2 linked regions of the Canis lupus familiaris genome follow. The protein of the gene in region 2 interacts with the protein of the main gene of each other region in a pairwise test. Links are inferred from orthologs where the notes say so. Each region holds a gene or a part of one and is shown on either strand. Other genes may lie near its edges.

The links.
Region 1: the proteins of GABPB1 (region 2) and TDRD7 interact in binary tests that used the Homo sapiens proteins (3 or more experiments, as listed by UniProt). The two-hybrid records come from large-scale screens. The link is inferred for Canis lupus familiaris from reciprocal best matches to the Homo sapiens genes GABPB1 and TDRD7.

Annotation. Positions count from the first base shown.
Region 1 is NC_049232.1:55,090,687-55,094,364, reverse strand, and holds the start of TDRD7 (tudor domain-containing protein 7), read right to left. Parts: upstream 2,837-3,678; 5' UTR 2,714-2,836; intron 750-2,713; 5' UTR 581-749; intron 13-580; 5' UTR 1-12. UniProt on the Homo sapiens protein: Component of specific cytoplasmic RNA granules involved in post-transcriptional regulation of specific genes: probably acts by binding to specific mRNAs and regulating their translation.
Region 2 is NC_049251.1:16,538,755-16,542,402, reverse strand, and holds part of GABPB1 (GA-binding protein subunit beta-1), read left to right. Parts: intron 1-1,450; coding exon 1,451-1,636; intron 1,637-3,648.

The DNA.
Region 1 (3,678 bases), on a different chromosome or scaffold from region 2:
AGTTCAGAATGTCTGTGTATAAAAGATTTTAGATGTCATCGAGTTTATCCCAAACGCCTCATTTTACAAACCAATAAACTAAGCCTAAGAGAGGGAAAGTTTTGGTCTAAGACCCAAACTTCAGGGAGATTTCTCATAATTGCAACAGTTTAACATGTTCTTTTTTCTTTTCCATTGCAGTACAGTCTACTTGTTACCACCTCAATTACTCCTTTACCAACTCTTTAAAAGGAAAGATACTAAATAATGCTCTCAGGTAGTGGATATATTTCCATAGGGTATATTTAGGGGGCATTTATTATTATTATTATTATTATTATTATTATTATTATTATTAATCATTGTAATTTCAAGTTCTAAACTATATATGCATTACTAACTACATATTATGAACAATAAGTAAGGGCTTTCCATAAATCTACATCTTAGAGGAAAAAAACCTCTTGAGATAATAAAGTGGCTTAGTTAGGATTTGGGGTCTTAATCCTAGTTCTGCTACTAATTAGCTGTGACCCTGAGTGAGAGGCATTTCAGGGCTCTTTTTTTCATATGGAAGATGGACAAGATCCTCAATTCTCACCTTTCCTTGGAGTCCTTCAAGTTCTGAAGTGGGATCCAAAGAACTAATGGAAACCATAAGTTTGCTTCCTTCTGACAAAGCTGCACAGCTATAATATTGAGTTTGCTTTGGAGTCACTAGGTATCCTGTGCTGACCAACAGCTGTAATTGGCATATATACACATCTCAGCTAAAAATGACAAAATCAATTACTTTTAAACATTTTGAATGACAAAATTTAAAAAAAAAATTGGCCCGTTGGGGCAATAATAAAAATGAAGCTTTCAAAAGCACAGAGACAGGAGTAGAGGGCAGAGAAGATAAGTTTTGCATAGAGAAAGAAAAACCGATTCACATAAATATGAAATTATATTTCACTCAAGTACCAAAGAACTTGGGTCCTTACTGTATTCATTGGCTGATCCTGAAAAGTGCCCAGATGCAAATCACTCTGTTGAATCTCAGTTCTTGAAAATAGCACTTGATCAAACAAGAACAGGCACTTAGAGTTGGATTATAAAGCATTTTCCTTTACATTCATATTGTCTCCAACTAGATTATATTTCACAGAAAATTTAAAGAGAAGTCCCTCAAGAAGTTTAAATCGCTTGGTATAAAACACACTAGTTCATTCAGTCACGTTCAACCAATACACTTAAAAGGGCATTAGCAGGGATTATGTTCCATCTCCAGTCTACAGGGACTGAAATCCGAAGGCACTGCCAACTGCTGCCTCGCAGTTCTCACAGCGTTTAACTAGCAGAGAAGAAATCTGTGTGCCACCAAAGAGCCCTGGGCTGGGGCACTGGACATGTGGATTCTAATCCAGCTAGCCTCCGGGCAATTCCCTGCACCCAGCACAGTACTTTGCACCTAACTGACATTCTGAAATGTCAATTAAGTGGGAATAGAAAATTCCCCACCACATGCCGATTAATTGTTATATCAGAGAACTCCAAGCAACTGAAATCCAATTATGTAAGACGTGGAAAGTTTGGTGGAAGGAAAAGAGTCAACATTTCTCGACCACTATTGCAAACCAAAGGATTTGCATCGGGTGACCTCACAAAAGCTGTGTGGAATTATGTTCAACATTTCCATTGGAGACACAGAAAACCAGGCTCAAAGAAAGTAATTTATTCACCATCCACAATTAGTTAAGCCCAGATTTCCAACTCGGGTCTGCAAGGCCCCACACTGTTTTTGCAAGTATGCAGCACCTACACGTCGAGGCAGCCGAGGAGGAGTTAGAAATTTGGGTCTAAGTTTTTCACTTCTGTCCTTAAGTTGTTGCACACGCGTGGCCGGGCGGAACGGTTTACTGCCATATTTCCACCTGCACGATGGGGGTGGGGTGGGGGTGGGGGGTTGACCCAGATAGGCAGTTTTGTTTGGTGCTGTAGGGCGGTTATAGCAGGTTAAAGCGCTCCTTTTTGGGCCAGGGCTTTTTCTAAGGCAGGCTATTGCTCTGTCAAACTATCTGGGACCGGTGGTCCCCTTTGGTTCCAGCTGGCAAACGTGTTATGCTCCGCAGGCGGAACGGAGCCAGAAAAGTTGCGCGGGGCTCGAGCCCCCCTGTCATTAACTCGAGGCTGAGCACCTGACCCTGCGGGATCTCGGTCAAAGTTAAGAGGCAGCTCGTCCCCAGAGTCAGGTTTGCTTCCTGGCTGTGTCCCCGCCTGGGGCTCGCGGCCGGGGAGCAACGGACAGGATGCGTGCCCTGCAGTACCTGAGCGGCCTGCACCGGCCGGTGCGCGGACAGGCCGAGCCTGCGAGGGGCTGGGAGCTCGCGGGGCGCTGCTCCCGGCGGCGGCTGCGGAACCACTTCCCGGTCAGCGCCTCCGCCCTCGCCCGCACCCCCACCCACTGCTGCAGCTCCCCGGCCTGCGGCTGCGGCTGCACCGAGCGAGGGTCCCGGCAGCGGCGGGCGGGCGGGTCCGTCAGGCTCTCGGGGAGGGGACCCATCACAGATTTCAAACGCGACGCTCTGGAACTGCAACTCCCCGGGGCATCCCCCGCCGCTGCAGCGAAGAGGCGCCGGGCCCGGCCGAGTCCCGCCCGGGCCACCGTCCCGCTAGGGACCCAGGTGCGCCGCGCCCCCCCGCAGCCTCGCCCGGCACCTGTCGCGCCCGCAGCGGCCAACCCCGCGCTCACCTCGTCCCGGGCGCCCACGGCCCGTCCCCGCGCCTCCGGGCCCGGCTCCCTCCGCCGTCTCCGCCAGGGCCCCCACCGCGGCCGCCGCCCACTTTCGGTTTCCCCGCTCGGCCGGAGCCGCCGCCGTCGCGGCTCGGGAATCACCTCAAGCCCCCGCCCCGCCCCGCTCCGCCCCGCCCCGCTCCGCCCCGCTCCGCCCCGCCCCGAGGGCAGCCCGGCCTCGGCCTCGGCTCTGCGCACGCGCGGGCTCCCCAGCCGCGTCGGCCCACCCCGGCGTCCGCGCGTGGGAAGGGAAACCGACGCCGCCTAGCGGTTTCTGCGCGTGCCCACGCACCGGCCGCCGGCGGAAGACGACTGCGCGGCGGGCTCCGGCGCGCCTCCTCGTGGCCAACGCGGGTACCGGCGGGCGGGCGGCCGGGCGGGCGGCCGGGGGCGGCCCGGGGCCCCCGCGGGACCTCGGCCGCCGCGCTCCTGCGCGCCTCCAGCCCCCGGGCTCTCGTGCCAGGCGGCTCGCGCGCTCAGCTCTCGCTCATTCTTTCCGTCAATGGTGGGGCTGTAACTTCTCACGCTCCGGGACAGCCACCTGCGTGCACCTCGCATCGCCCTTAGGGTAGTTTGCAAGCGTCACCTTTTCAAGGAGAGCGCCTCCTTCAAGAACGAACGTCAGTGTCCTCCCTGGATACCTTCTCCCTTAGCCCCTGGCGGGTGGGCCCACTATACGCATTTTACTTTTCCTTTCCATTGTCTGCTGTGCTCCAATTCAAGGCCTACGAGCGCAGGGATCCTTGTCATTCCGGCGTATTCCCAGAGTCTCGGGTTGCTCTTGGCACCTGAGGGTGACATACATTTTGTCCAATGCTTTCCTTCATTCATTGTAAGATCGTTGAACGTCTAATATTCACTTATTTTCTTCTGCACATCGATTCCACCAACACGTATTGCGCATATTGGTTTGCATTCCTGAA
Region 2 (3,648 bases):
CCTGATAATGACCGCTTTGTGAGAGTGGTCATTGCTAGGTCTTTATAGGCACCTTTACCGCTTAGTAATCTTTGCTGTGTGATACTTTGAAAATATATGAATATCTTGTTTCTTGAAACATTTCAGTGGTTTTAACATCCACTGGTGACCCTTGCTTGAATCAATTATTACATTGGAGGTTACAGTGATAATTTTCCTTATTTTGTTAATTAGATGTCATTCTTCTATCAAGATGATCTTTACTCCTTCCCCTTTTCTCTCCTTTTTCACTAAGTATTATTATGGACAAATGGATTTTTGAAGATTCATTGTGTTATAATCCATTATTGTCATTATTCCTTTTGCTGCTTCTTTATTGACGTGTAATAAGCATACAGAAAAGTGCATAGATCATCAATGTATAGTGTAATAAATTATCTCAGAGTGGTTACTCTTGTATAATCACTGCTTAGTTTATAAATGGGAAGAAGGCAATATATATTTTGTATCTGATTTATATCAGTGAGCATGGTTTTTGTCAGATTTATCTATGTTTTGCATTTAGTCGTTTTAATTGCTGGGTAGTATTCCATTGTATTAATCTACCAGTCTGTTTATCCTTCTTCTTTTGATGGATATCCGGTGGTTTCAAGTTTCTTATTATCATGAGTGTAGCTGCTGGGAATGTTCCTGTCCATAGGTCTTTTGGGATCAGTATTGCCTGTGGATTGCACAGGATTGCTTGTGGGAAAGGATTTTGGTAGTATTAAATTGTGATTTCTTTACTCAGGTGAAGCCAGGGGTGCCGTTTTCAGCTGCCAGAATCCTCTCTGGGCCTCTTACAAGATAGTAACATTCTTTGGATTTTATTTATATGAATTTTAATATATTATTCACTGTCATTACAGTACTTGACCTGTGTGCCACTTGCTATCAAGGCAACCCCTTTCTCACATAATCCAAAAAGGGAATACTGTTTATTCTGTTTACTTGAAAAATATAGATTTTTGTGTTTCAATTGAACATGGAAATGCATTCAACTCATGTAAATATAGGCAAATAACTCATGTAAATATAAATGGAGTACAACCACATACAAAATTCTCTTTTGGATCATAAAATTTTATTAAGCAGGTATAACCTGTGTTATATCTATGACCTTAGGAGATTATATAAATTTTGTACCTCATATAAACAATATAAATATTGTTTATTTAAATATATGCATGTGTAGTTAAATATACACCTGTGTAGTCACAACTCAGTTAATTATAAATTGTGGGACTTGTAGTCCATTATCTATATAGATATATACAGCATCACGGAAGAGTGGATTTAATAAAAACCATGTAAAAGCTTTTCTGTGTCAGAACAAAACAGGGAAAGCAAAAGTAGCAAAGCAAAAATGAACTAGTCATATTTATTTTTATGTATGTTCACTGATTTTTACTTTTTTTTTTTTTTTTTCCAGTAGTGGCTACGGAGGAGGTAGTTACTGCAGAATCTGTCGATGGTGCCATTCAACAAGTAGTTAGTTCAGGTGGTCAGCAAGTCATCACAATAGTCACAGATGGAATTCAGCTTGGAAATTTGCACTCCATTCCAACCAGTGGAATAGGTCAGCCCATCATTGTGACCATGCCAGATGGACAACAAGGTTGGTAGTAGATATGTGCATGAAGTTTGAATTTATTCTCAGTGCTTGGCATTTATTTTTGCCTTAGATTTTGTTTTTGTAATGTTTTGCAATAGATTTCATTGACTAATTTTATTTCCTTGGGTTAGTATTGAAATTAGCTTGCTTTCTCTGAGATTATCTAGGTGGAAAGAGGATTTGGTTCCCAAGTATTCTGGTTGGAAAATAAGCTTAAGTAAATAATTCAGAATCCACTTTGGACAGTAATTCCTTATGCCATTTATTGCAGTTCAGATATCATACAGTCTTTTAAAAATACCATATAAGAAAAGGCTCCTTACAAAGCATTGGGCTTAGGACTTACAGTAGGAATGTGGTAGCTACTTTTAGCAGCTTTGTTGGAAATTTTCTCATTTTTTCCCTCTTGGAAACTACTGAGAATAGAAGATAGATTAAACAAAAGACCCAGCTACATTCTCAGTGACCGTAAAAGGCTGAGAAAACCATAAAATTCCCTATTTTAGGTGCTGCCAAAAACATCTAAGACCATTAGAGCCAGGGCAAGAGAACCCTCATGAAAACTCAACAGTGGTGCATCAAGAAAAGAGAAGAGATTGAGCTCAAAGATTAGCAATAAATACACAGCAAGACAGGGCCCACTCTGCATTGGAGTACTATCCGTAGGTCTGAGGTAGGGTTAGGGCATGGATGCTGGAGGAAGAAGGAGAAGGTGCAGAAAATTCCTATCTGAGCTAGCATTGCCTTGTACCCAGTGCCCCCCTCCAACACACAAAATGTGTATGCACACCTATAACCTTTTAGAAAATGATTAGGATTACAGAGACTGTGCACCTTTATGGCCAGTGAAGGAATTGGGGAAGGGAAGGGCTAGAGCTAGAAGTTCTAAACCAGGTTTGGCTTAGAGTGACAGAGGAGTTATGGCTCTATAGAGCGGCCAGGTCTCAGGAAAAAGTTGCTTTAGCAGAAGAAGAGGAACCCCTTACCTGTGAAAACTGGGAAGCCATTCTCTTCTGTTTTGCAGAAATCTGCTGATGGCTCATACAAGATTTGGGTCAGGCCCAGATGCTTTCACAAAGCTTCAAAGAAATAATTCTTTTTTTTTTTTTCCCCCAAAGAACTAATTATATAGAAATAAGAAAACTTGCAGTTTATATCAAGCATATAATGTTTCTAAAAACTGACATTATACAGACTAATCTCATCCCATGAACAAATGGAAAGAAATGCCATGTTTTTGGATGAGAGGATTCACTATCATAAAGCTCTCTATTCTTCCTGAGTTAATTTATAAATGTAACATGCCATGCAAAAAAAAAGTCTATTTTAGTTTGCTAGGGCTGCCACAACAAAATACCACAGACTGAACGACTACAGAAATTTATTTTCTCACAGTGCTGGAGTTTTGAAGTCCAAGATCAAGGTGTTGGCAAGTTTGGTTTCTTCTGAGGCCTTTGTCCTTGGCTTGCGGATGGCTGCCTCCTCGCTGTATCCTTGTGTGGTCGTCCCTCAGTCTGCTAGTGTTGTCTGTGTCTTGATCTCTGCTTCTCAAAAGCACACCAGTCTTACTGGGTTAGGGCTCACTCACTTGACCTTATTCTACCTTATTTACCTCATTAAAGGCCCGATATCCAAATACAGTCATGTTGTGGTATTGGGGGTTAGGACTTAAGTCTTGAGTTTCGAGGACACAGTTCAACCCATAACAGAGACTAACAAGGTTTTTCCTGGAACTAGTCAAATTGATCCTGAAGTTTGTATTAATAGGAGGAGAAGGGAAGAAGAATAAGGGAACTTAATGAGAGGCGCTTACTAAATATTAAAGTAAACTTTTGAAGGCTCCATAATTAAAAAATGCGTAACTGACATGTGAATGAATATATACAGTCTCTGCAGGCAGTCCAATGAAGCAGATGTAAGGTTCTCAATTCTTCTTGCATTAATTTAGAAGTATAATGTAAAGTTACATTTAAGTTAGAGGTTAAAAAAAACACTTTAATTCTCAATATTAGTAA